3 linked regions of the Anolis sagrei genome follow. The protein of the gene in region 2 binds, or shares a complex with, the protein of the main gene of each other region. Links are inferred from orthologs where the notes say so. Each region holds a gene or a part of one and is shown on either strand. Other genes may lie near its edges.

Region 1 (3,752 bases), on a different chromosome or scaffold from region 2:
CTCATGTCCAGGTTATTCCATTATAAACTCCACCCCATAGTGTGGTATGGGTTGTCACCAGTTCTCAAAGCCCATAAGAAGAAGAAGAGTTGTTGGGTAACCCCAGAGTCCAGAACCCATGAGGCCTGAGATATCTTAGAACCCTTCCACCTAGCCATATAATCCAGAATATCAAGGCAGATAATCCACAATATCTGCTTTGAAGTGGGTTATCTGAGTCCATACTGCCATATAATCAGTTAAATGTGGGTTTTATACAGCTGTGTGGAAGGAGCCCAATTCAACCTGCCTGGATATCTCTGTTCAGATCTAGTGGAGCAGAAGAGTCCTGTCAGAGACCAACCCAGGAACCTAAATGCACAGAAGTTAGGAAAAGCACATGGTAGAGCAATGGTTCTCAATCTGTGGCTCCCCAGATGTTTTGGTCTAGAACTCCCAGAAATCCTAGCCAGTTTACCAGCTATTTTGGCCTTGGCTATTTTGGTAAACTGGCTAGGATTTCTGGGAGTTGTAGACCAAAACACCTGGGGACCCACAGGTTGAGAACCACTGTGGTAGAGGATGGGAGAGTATGTTGATCAACACTATCCCATACACATGTGCCTTTATCAATAGTCTGAGTGGAACCGATATGCCTATATGAGCCAGTCACTTCTACATGCATGTGCATGATCAACTCAAACCTTGAACCAATGCACAGAGGCAACAAGAAAATCAGCTTTTACAACCACAGTCTACCTCCACCACCCAGACCTATTGATCTGATCACTTCATTACTTGAAGAGGGGCTCTGCGTAATAAAGTTGAGGTCCTAGGCAGAGGCAGCCCTAGGTAATTTTCAACGGTGAGCAAACAGTATTTTGCCCCCCCCCCCAAAAAAAAACCAAAACCAATCACTGATATATATTTTCTGTTTGTTGTGGGAGTTCTGTGTGCCATATTTGGTTCAATTCCATCATTGGTGGAGTTCAGAATGCTCTTTGATTGTAGGTGAACTATATATCCCAGTAACTACAACTCGCATATGTCAAGGTCTATTTTCCCCCAAGAGCGCCTCAAGAGCGCCCCTGGGCAAAATCAACTATACTGCAAAGGCTTACTTTGCGTAATGGTTGAGCCGCCCCTGGTCCTAGGTCAAGCAACAACAGTAGACATGCCAGATCACTACAGCACTCCTCATGTAAGCAACTCCTGGGATTTTGTTATCTGTGTTGCTTTCTACTGTCATACATGACGATGTACATAGATGTGATTACTTCTAGCTATGATGTACCTGTAGATGTTTTAGTTGCAGTGAAATGGCTCATTGCCGACAGTCCTCTATTATCTTAAGCAATTAAAAGTTCTTCAGAGTAGCTTTTGGCCATAAACTAGTTTTATATTTTGATGTATCCCCCCTCTTCTCCCCGCTTACATAATTATCCAAATCAGGAGCACTATTTAATGGAAATGCTGGCAGTACGTGATCTGAAACTGTAGGGGTTATATAAGCCAATCTCCCCCCACCCTTGCCATTCGGATAAAGATTTATGTCAGACTTGGCAAGGCGGGGTTCGTTGACACTCCTGTGATCAAAGGCTCCAGAGAAAGCATATTTCGTCTTCTGTCTCCTCTTTGCTTTTCACCTCCCCCCATCATTTCCCTTCAGAGTAGGACAGCACCAAACATTAACACAATACATGCCAAGGAAGCAGAAAGATCCTCAGGGAAGTGTGAAAAAAGAACATCGCTTTGGGCTAGCTCAAAAGCAGCATTGGTAGTGACATTTCCATTCTCCCAGCATGCCCTCTCACATTCAAGCTGCCTTGCTGTTTTAAGGTATTCTGCAGCGCATTGTCAGGCGGTTATATGGGGACACCTACCTCCTGGCAGGCTTAATGGCCCACAACCCTGCTCTTTGTCCGTCTCATTTTCTTTCATGAAGATCCGTTTTATACAGATCCGCCAGAGTCCAAAGTGGGCCATCTCGCAGGTAGCGTTGTACTCTTCTACCTTAGGACTCAGCACGGCCCAGTGGTCCGTCACCACCGCTGTGAACATTAAGACGATGCCTATCAAAATGATGGTAAAAGTCACCCGGACTTTCAAAGCCTTGCCTTCGGTCATGGCTGGGAGGCTTAGGCCAAGACGCAGTAGTGCAGGCCGGTTCTGGATTAATCTGCTGGTGACAAGGAACACTGCAAGTCATCTGAGTTGTCTTCCAAAGTCTTGGCGTATCTAAGCATGTTCAAATGTCAGCCCTGCAGTGGCAAAGAGGAGTAGCGAGGAGAGGGTTGGGGGAGGCAAGCAGCAGCACTTACAGCTGTTGAGATGTATCAGATGACCAGTCGGGCTGTGAGTGAGGCTTCTATTAATGCACAGTTTGGGCGAAGGAATAGGCTGCTCAGATTACGGCTGCCGGGATTTGCTCTGGGAATTCCAAAGGCTGTCTTGGAGCAAAATGGACTTAAGGGAATGAATAACCACCCCTATAGCAAGCACCAGGCTGGGGGTTGTGTAGATGTATGAACTGAAAGCTATAAATACTAACACATATGCTGGAAACCTCTGTGCAAGCAGACCAAATAAGGCAATAGAAAAGGTTGAATTCAGCAATCTGTGCTTGTGTGTTTGGGTGTGCACACTTCTTGTTACACAATTTATTTTGCTATTGCTATTCATAGGGAGGGACTAAGAGTAATGAATGGTATTGGAAATCCCCTGGTTACCACATGGGGTTCTCCCCCATACATTGTGCACAAGCCCGTAGCCAGGATTTTGATTCGGGGGGAAGGCTGAGTTTGATTCGGGGGGGGGGGGGGGGATGAGGATCTACCCTAACAAACCTTTTGTATCACTATCCCAATACCCCCATGCATATGGGATATATTGAGCATGGTGATCAGATCATGATATGAATAAACATAACACAGACCTATAAACCCATTTTCCTAGTTCCAACACACTTCATTACCTCTGAGGATGCTTGCCATAGATGCAGGCGAAACGTCAGGAGAGAATGCCTCTAGAACATGGCCATATAGCCCTAAAAACCCTACAACAACCCATAAACATAACAGTTTAAATAATGTACCAGTAAGGCCTTCTCGCGGACTACCCTGAGAATTTGGGGGTGGTGGTGGGGGGTGAAGCCCCTCAAGTTGTCCCCCCCCCCCCCCCGGCTACGGGCCTGATTGTGCATAAACCAAGATGGTAAAGATGGCTTTGTAACTGATATAAGAACCCAGGGCTATTGTTGTTCATTTGTTCAGTCATCTCCGAGTCTTCGTGACCTCATGGACCAGCCCACGCCAGAGCTCCCTGTCAGCTGTCACCATCCCCAGCTCCTTCAAGGTCAGTCCAGTCACTTCAAGGATGCCATCCATCCATCATGCCCTTGGTCGGCCCCTCTTCCTTTTACCTTCTACTTTCCCCAGCATAATTGTCTTCTCCAGGCTTTGCTGTCTCCTCATGATGTGGCCAAAGTACTTCAACTTTGTCTCTAGTATCCTTCCCTCCAATGAGCAGCCGGGCTTTATTTCCTGGAGGATGGACTGGTTGGATCTTCTCGCAGTCCAAGGCACTCTCAGAACTTTCCTCCAACACCACAGCTCAAAAGCAATACAGCAGGACTCAAAACAAGGACCACACTATACTAGGAAGGAAGTCTAGTTCTTCCCCAATTTCAGACTGCAGTAACAACCCTTCCCTACCCGCAGTCCTTGAAGGAAATCTGCTGTTCACTTCAGTGGACAGAAGTAGTGACAGATCCT
Region 2 (3,752 bases):
ATCTTTATTCTCCAACTGAGAGATCATCATCATCATCATCTTTATTTGTACCCTGCCACCATCTCCCCAAAGGGACTCAGGGCAGCTCACAGAAGCACTCCAAGCACCACATGCAGACGACAATATATAACTAGAAATACAATGACATAATCAACAGCACATAAAAATCTCATTAATAAAATTATAAGAATTTGAAAATTACAACATTCCTAATACACAGTGAAACCTGCCAGCTGGCTACATGTCATAACAATCAATCAAAGTGTGGGCCAGTACTATTAATGATTCATCACATTGGTCATGGATTACTCAGGATCAAAGGCCTGTCTGAAGAGTCATGTTTTAGACTCACCCAGAAGGCCTGAAGAGAGGGAGCTAATCTAATTTCTTTAGGTTATTCCAGAGCCAAGGAGCCACCACTGAGAAGGCCCTCTCTCTCGTCCCCACCAACCGTACTTGTGCCGGTGGTGGGACCAAAAGAAGGGCCTCCCAGCAGATCTTAGTGCCCACGCTGGTTCGTAGGAGATGCAGTCTCAAGGATAGGTTGGACCCAAAGTATATAGGGCTTCTGCTGGCATCACCTGTAATTTGTTTTGTTGTTCAAATTATAAATTAGCTTAAAGACACAAGCCTTCTTCCTACTGTACACAGTCCTAACTCAATTGTTTTTTCACTAAATGATTGGGAAAAGTTTAACACTACATTTTCCATCCTTTAACCAATATTAAATAACAACTGGATTTCTATTTTATTCTATGACTTATACAAGAATGATCGGTTTCTTGACTCCAGTTATGATCTTTTTTACGCCACTAACTTTAGCATAGAATCATTAGGCTCAGAAACATATAAAGAAGAGCACCTAATCCAAAGCCCTGACCTTCTTCTCCCATTCTCAGCCCAGAAGTACTTAAAAGATTTCAAAAATAGCTCTTTGGAGAAATTAATCCATTTTGTCCAAGTTATAGTACGTCAAAAGCAGAAAGCAGGAGAAAAAAAGCCACCGCATAGGAGACAGGTCTGCACATTTCCAGAAATAGCTTGTTTTAAAAATCTGATTACTCCAGCAAGCAATGAAATGAAATGAAATGAAACTGTATTTATAGCTTGCCCTATCTTCCCGAAGGGAGTCAGGGCGACTTACAACAAAATACACCATGACAAACATTCCATGCCCACAATAATATATAAAGAACTCAACAAATTGAAGACAATTCAATAAATTATAGATCAATATAAATGAACAAGACATAGCATAATCCACATAATTACATTACATGGTAGGAAGGTAAGCTCCATGCTATCAAAGAAGGCTTGATAGCTCATTTTGAGTTTGAGAAAATTATATCCTCACATCAAATAAAGCAATATATTGACTCTTAAGCAAAATTAATCTTCACAACAGAGTAAAATGCATTGGCCCTTGAATTGAATGTTATTAGACTCCTCAAAGATATGTAAAAAGTGGGAAGAAGCTGTATCTATATTCAATGTACTGAAGTTGAGAAGCTAGATGAAATAACCTGTAAACATTCATTCTGTACTCATACGCATCTCTTTTGGAATCCATGACATATCCTTTTGAACCATAATGGATTCTACAGTTGTACATTTCCAAGTGTTTCTTAATCTATGAATGGCCACAGAAGACTATAACTCCTGCTACAGTATTTTTTTCCAAATCACACTCACGTCCACCTACCAATTCAGACTGGATCAATGCAGTACTTTTCTCTTAAATACCTTCCTTCCCTCCTCATCTCCCTGCTTCTCCTCTCAGACATAAATGCCAAAATTTAGTGGCTTTCTAGCATTTCTAGAGAAGAGAAAATCATATTCAGGGTTTATCTTTCACAAGAGAGGTTCATTGATAATAAATATTCCCCAGCCCTTTGCCTTTGGTTTCAGCTGGTGCCCATAGCACATACACGTCAGCCTAGAGCCAGCCCCATAGTTTTCACCGAAGGATACTTCCATTCCACAATAGCGATGCAGGCTTTGCGCACTGGATTCTGGAGAGTGAGGCAGAAGAGAGATCGAGGAGGCCTGGGAGGAAGTTCCAGGGCTGCTTTCTTAGCTTTTTCCTTTTGTTGCTTTTTCTTCAAGCTGTCATCTTGGGCCAAAGTGGCCTCCATGATCACTCTCCTTCAGTTGCTTACTCCAGGCAGACTTGTCTTGCCCCTTCTTTGGCTCTCCTTTGTTCTTCAACCAGCCCCCCACCCTTCCCCAGCACAAGGGCGGCTGAAGCCCCCTCTGGACCTCTTTCCTGCTGAGCCAAACTTATCAAGGCGGTGTGGGATGTGGGGCTGGGAATGACATTCCCACAGACACAAATACACCCAGCGCAGAGTTTATAATTAGCCCCCAGCCTGGCTCCCAGGGCTGTCAGATTTCCTGAGACAGCAAAAGGAACAGCTGTTCCTTCTTCGTTCTCAATCCATGGCCATTTTTGAGCTACCAATCCAGGTCAGGGGAAAGGATGTGGGTGGGGAGGTGGGCTTCACATATCAGCGCTTAGAAAAGGAACATTTTAATTCACTTTGATTCATGTTTGACAGATTTATAAAGGAGTAGCTGCTGCCTGTATTATCAGGATCAAAGCCACTTCAACATTAGTAGTGTATGGATTACCGTATATAATCAAGTATAAGCTGAGTTTTTCAGCCCTGAGACTGAAAAGCACCCCCTAAGCTTATACTCGAGTCAGGGTTATTTATTATTTTACTGTTATTATTATTATTACTATTATTATTATTATTATTATTATTATTACTATTATTATTATTACTGCATTTATTATTTTACTCTCTTTATTGGTATTGGAAGGATATGAAAGCACATTTACATTGAAGAAGGTTAGAATAATAGTTTAGAGTTGGATAGTCTTATCTAAAATTACAGTTTTATGTAAATATTCAAAAACATTTAATCTACTAATGCCTCAATTAATGTAATTTTATTAGTATCTATTTTTATTTTGAAATTTACCAGTAGCTGCTGCATTTCCCACCCTTGGCTTATACTCGAGTCAATATGTTTTCCCACTTTTTTGTGGTAAAATTAGATGTCTCGGCTTATATTTGGTTGGCTTATACTCAAGTATATACGGGTATATACTTCGATGGTCTTGAAACAGTCAAGATTTCACACAGTAACGGAGACCATATATACATATATATATATATGTATGAATATATATACACACACATACACACAATATTTCTTCAGTTTTAAGACACCATCAATTGTAAGAAGCATACTAATTCCAGTACCACCAACAAAAAAGTATTATTTAGATATATCAAAAAGCACCTGCAATTCTAAGACTTTTTTGACTTGTTTATACAGAAAAGAAAGTGCATCTTAGAATCAAAGAAATGTGGAATGTATGTGACGTACTATATATAAAGACAACTTTCTCACCCGAAAATTTCACGCCCTTGTTTCATGAATCATAGAATATCAGTCAAATCTAAAACACAAGACCAGGCCTTGAGATCCAGAGGCTCTGGAAGTAGCCTTCAAATCTACACATAGGGAAGTCCTATGTCTTACTTAGACAAAAATAATCATAATGTGCTAACTGGAAGCTTAGGCCATTTCTTCACAAACATGATAAAAATAACTTGAGATTTAAACTGATTGATTTGTCTCAAAAAAGAGTTCTTAGTGATTAGCTCTATTCTGCCATTGTTTACTGTTTAGTTCTATCCGCCGCCCCGCCCCCGCCCCCCCTCCCCCACACATCTTCT
Region 3 (3,752 bases), on a different chromosome or scaffold from region 2:
CAAGCATCCTCCTGTAGGTTTTTCAGGCTATATGGCCATGTTCTAGAAGCATTCTCTCCTGATGTTTGGCATGCATCTATGGCAAGCATCCTCCTGTAGATTCTTCAGGCTATATGGCCATGTTCTAGAAGCATTCTCTCCTGACGTTTCACCTGCATCTATGGCAAGCATCCTCCTGTAGGTTTTTGGGCTATATGCAATGTTCTAGAAGCATTCTCTCCTGACGTTTCACCTGCATCTATGGCAAGCAACCTCCTGTAGGTTTTTCGGGCTATATTGCCATATTCTAGAAGCATTCTCTCCTGATGTTTCGCCTGCATCTACGACAAAGCATCCTCAGAGGTTGTGAGGTTTGAGGGTGCCTGTTATAGTTGCAGGCGAAACGTCAGGAGAGAATGCTTCTGGAATGTGGCCATACAGCCCGAAAAACATACAGCAACCCAGTGATTCCAGCCATGAAAGCCTTCGACAAGACATTTGGTTAGTTGGGAAATACAAGGCAGACTGTATGACACACTAAGGCCCCTTCTATACTGCCATATAATCCAGATTATCAAGGTAGATAACACCCTACAACCTCTGAGGATGCTTGCCATAGTTGTAGGTGAAACGTCAGGAGAGAACGCTTCTTTTTAAATTTAATTTAATTTATTTTAAATATATATATAATTATTATTTTATCATAGTTCATGCTTCTAGAACCAGATTATCAAAGTAGATAACACCTCACAACCTCTGAGGATGCTTGCCATAGTTGCAGGCAAAACGTCAGGAGAGAATGCTTCTTTTAAAAATTTAATTGTATTTATTTTTAAATATATATTTTTTATTATTTTATCATAGTTCATGCTTCCAGAACCAGATTATCAAAGTAGATAACACCTCACAACCTCTGAGGATGCGTGCCATAGTTGCAGGCGAAACGTCAGGAGAGAATGCTTCTTTTTAAAATTTAATATATATATATATATATATATATATGATCATAGTTCACGCTTCTAGAACCAGATTATCAAAGCAGATAACACCTCACAACCTCTGAGGATGCTTGCCATAGTTGCAGGCGAAATATCAGGAGAGAATGCTTCTTTTTTAATTTAATTTAATTTCTTTTAGATATATATTTTTTATTATTTTATCATAGTTCATGCTTCTAGAACCAGATTATCAAAGCAGATAACACCTCACAACCTCTGAGGGTGCTTGCCATAGTTGCAGGCGAAACGTCAGGAGAGAATGCTTCTTTTTTAAATTTAATTTTATTTCTTTTTTAAATTTTTTAAAAATTATTTTATCATAGTTCATGCTTCTAGAACATGTCCATATCGCCCAAAAAAACCACAACAACCTAGTTAGGTTAGTTAGACACCAGAGAGCCCTTCTCCTTAGTGCCAAGGGAGAAGAAGGGCTCTCTCTGTGGAAGTTGCAATCCCTAGGCATCAAAGGGACTGCTAGACTCAACAGCCATTCCTGCCTCTGTTGCTGCTCCTCCCTTCTCCCCAATCTAGGAATCCCACATCCCTCTGAGGTTGCCTTTCAAATACTTCCTAACCCCTTTAGATGGCTGTTCATCACTGGGGAGGCTCAAAGCAAAAGCCTTGCCAGCATCATCTCTCTCTTGCTTGTCTGTACGTGTTGAGAAACAAGGGAGGGGTGGGCGAGCAGGGACGAATTCAACCAGGGGAAAAAGGGTGGATGAAGATCAGCCCTTCCCTGATTCCTTTGGCCCCTTCTTTCCCCATCCATCCTTTTCCAGAAGGTGATATTTCCACCTCCAAAGTTCCCCCCTCCCTCTTGCTCCCCCCCCCCTTCTCACCTGGAGACCAGGGTTGTCTAAGACCTCCATCTGGATGTCTTGGCTGGAGCTGTAAGGTGTGCGTGACATGCCGCCCTCCTGCACCATGGAGATGCCCCTTGCCCGCCGCCGCCTGCGCTCACGACGCCGGGCTCATGGTGCCAAAGCCGGGGAGGGAGGAAGGGGCGCCCCCGGGGGCTGGCACAAGCCCCTTCCTCACGCCCGTCGCCTCGGCATGGCTTCTGCTGCCCTCTCCAAGGCGGGGATGGAGGAAGAAGAGAGGGCGCAAGGCAATTCCTGGCAGCAGCAGGGAAGGCTGGAGAGGCTCCTGCGGTGGTGGCTGTTGCTGCTGCTGCTGTTGCCAAAGGGAGAGGGAAGGCAAGGTGGGCGTGGGGTGGGCTGAGCCCAAGGGGGATGCGCAGATGGGAGGGAGGGGCTGCCCAGGAGGAGGAGGGGAGATGGAGGGCTGGCTCCAGCCTTACTTGGGTTGCCCCAAACCAGCCTCCCATCCTCCCTCCTCCTGGGCAGCCTCCAAGGCCATCATCCTATCAGCATCCACCTGCTGCTGCTCCTATCTGCCCTTCTTCTGAAACAATGGCTTCAAACTCCAAGAAAGGAGATTCAATCTGAACATTAGGAAGAACCTTTGAAGACTGCTTGGAAAAAGTATTATAAGTTAATATGGAAATGGTACCTAATACCAGTAAGAATCCATATAATTAAACATGTAATGTTTGTTTGTGGGATTAACAGAACTCAAAAACCACTGGACAAATTGACACCAAATTTGGACACAAGACACCTAACAACCCAATGTATGTCTTTCACTCAAAAATTTGATTTTTTCATTTGGGAGTTGTAGTTGCTGGGATTTATAGTGAGGCCCGTAGCCAGAAAAATTTTTTGGGAGGGGTTTAAATTTGGGGGGGGGGGGTTGAAAATTTCGCAGGGGGGGGGGCAAAGAGCACAGCAGGGGGCAGAGCAGCCTTCAATAGCCTGCAGCTCCGCCCTTGTCAACCACCTCCACCAAGTCTGGCCTCCTTAATGAGAGCATTCAACATTCCACCCCCCCCCCCCAACTTGGTTGCTTCAGTACTGTTCTGTCGAGCATTGGGCCTGTAAATAATTGTCTTTAGAACAGGATGTGCAACCTTTGCCCAGCGGGAAGCCAGGGGGCCTAAAGAGAAGTTCTCAGAGGTTTCCACCACAAACAGTCTTTAGATGTATTGTCGAAGGCTTTCATGGCTGGAATCACTAGGTTCTTGTGGGTTTTTTCGGGCTATAGAGCCATGTTCTAGAACATGGCTCTATAGCCCGAAAAAACCCACAAGAACCTAATCTTTAGATGGCTTGAGAAGTACAACAAAGTCTTTTATTAATGAACAATCAAACAGAAACTTCTCTTGTCTTCAGTAAAGTTAAGCAAATGATTCCAAGCTTTTAGGCAACTGGTGAATTCCTAATCTTGCCCACGAAGGACAGGCAACTGTCTTCAATAACTTCTTCTTTAAAGAAAAATCCCCTTCGTAACTTCTCCCAGGCTAACTGTAATCTAACCCTTACTGATGTGGGCTCTGCTACCGGGTCGAACTGCGTCTCGAACGCCGAGTGGACCTACTAGCAAGGCAGTAGATGTTCTCCAGCTGGAGTTCTTTGGTCCTGGAAATTCTTTGGAGACTCTTAAGACCTTTCTCCCCTGGAAAGTCTTAAGGGTTGAAGCTTTTGTACAGGGGAAGCTTGCACTCATCCTATATATAAGCTTACTTTGCTGAGACTAACTAAAAATGGCTCCCTTCCCTTCCCAATTGCCCTGAGCAAGGGGCGGGACCAAAATTTAACGATGATGGACAGGTGACTTGCCCTATGACTGCAACCAAAGAAGCCACCTTTCTGCAGAGTCCCTGAAACCTAGGACTGCAAGCAAACATTTAATACAAAGCAAATAAAGCTGTACCAG

Evidence for each region.
Region 1: CACNA1S (region 2) and CACNG1 share a complex: the UniProt entries of both Homo sapiens proteins name them as parts of the calcium channel complex. The link is inferred for Anolis sagrei from reciprocal best matches to the Homo sapiens genes CACNA1S and CACNG1.
Region 3: CACNA1S (region 2) and CACNB1 share a complex: the UniProt entries of both Homo sapiens proteins name them as parts of the calcium channel complex. The link is inferred for Anolis sagrei from reciprocal best matches to the Homo sapiens genes CACNA1S and CACNB1.

What each region holds. Positions count from the first base shown.
Region 1 is NC_090022.1:180,613,246-180,616,997, forward strand, and holds the start of CACNG1 (voltage-dependent calcium channel gamma-1 subunit), read right to left. Parts: upstream 2,449-3,752; 5' UTR 2,107-2,448; coding exon 1,863-2,106; intron 1-1,862. UniProt on the Homo sapiens protein: Regulatory subunit of the voltage-gated calcium channel that gives rise to L-type calcium currents in skeletal muscle. Regulates channel inactivation kinetics.
Region 2 is NC_090024.1:185,707,185-185,710,936, forward strand, and holds the start of CACNA1S (voltage-dependent L-type calcium channel subunit alpha-1S), read right to left. Parts: upstream 2,323-3,752; 5' UTR 2,136-2,322; coding exon 1,972-2,135; intron 1-1,971. UniProt on the Homo sapiens protein: Pore-forming, alpha-1S subunit of the voltage-gated calcium channel that gives rise to L-type calcium currents in skeletal muscle.
Region 3 is NC_090026.1:43,881,214-43,884,965, reverse strand, and holds the start of CACNB1 (voltage-dependent L-type calcium channel subunit beta-1), read right to left. Parts: upstream 2,272-3,752; 5' UTR 1,904-2,271; coding exon 1,817-1,903; intron 1-1,816. UniProt on the Homo sapiens protein: Regulatory subunit of L-type calcium channels. Regulates the activity of L-type calcium channels that contain CACNA1A as pore-forming subunit.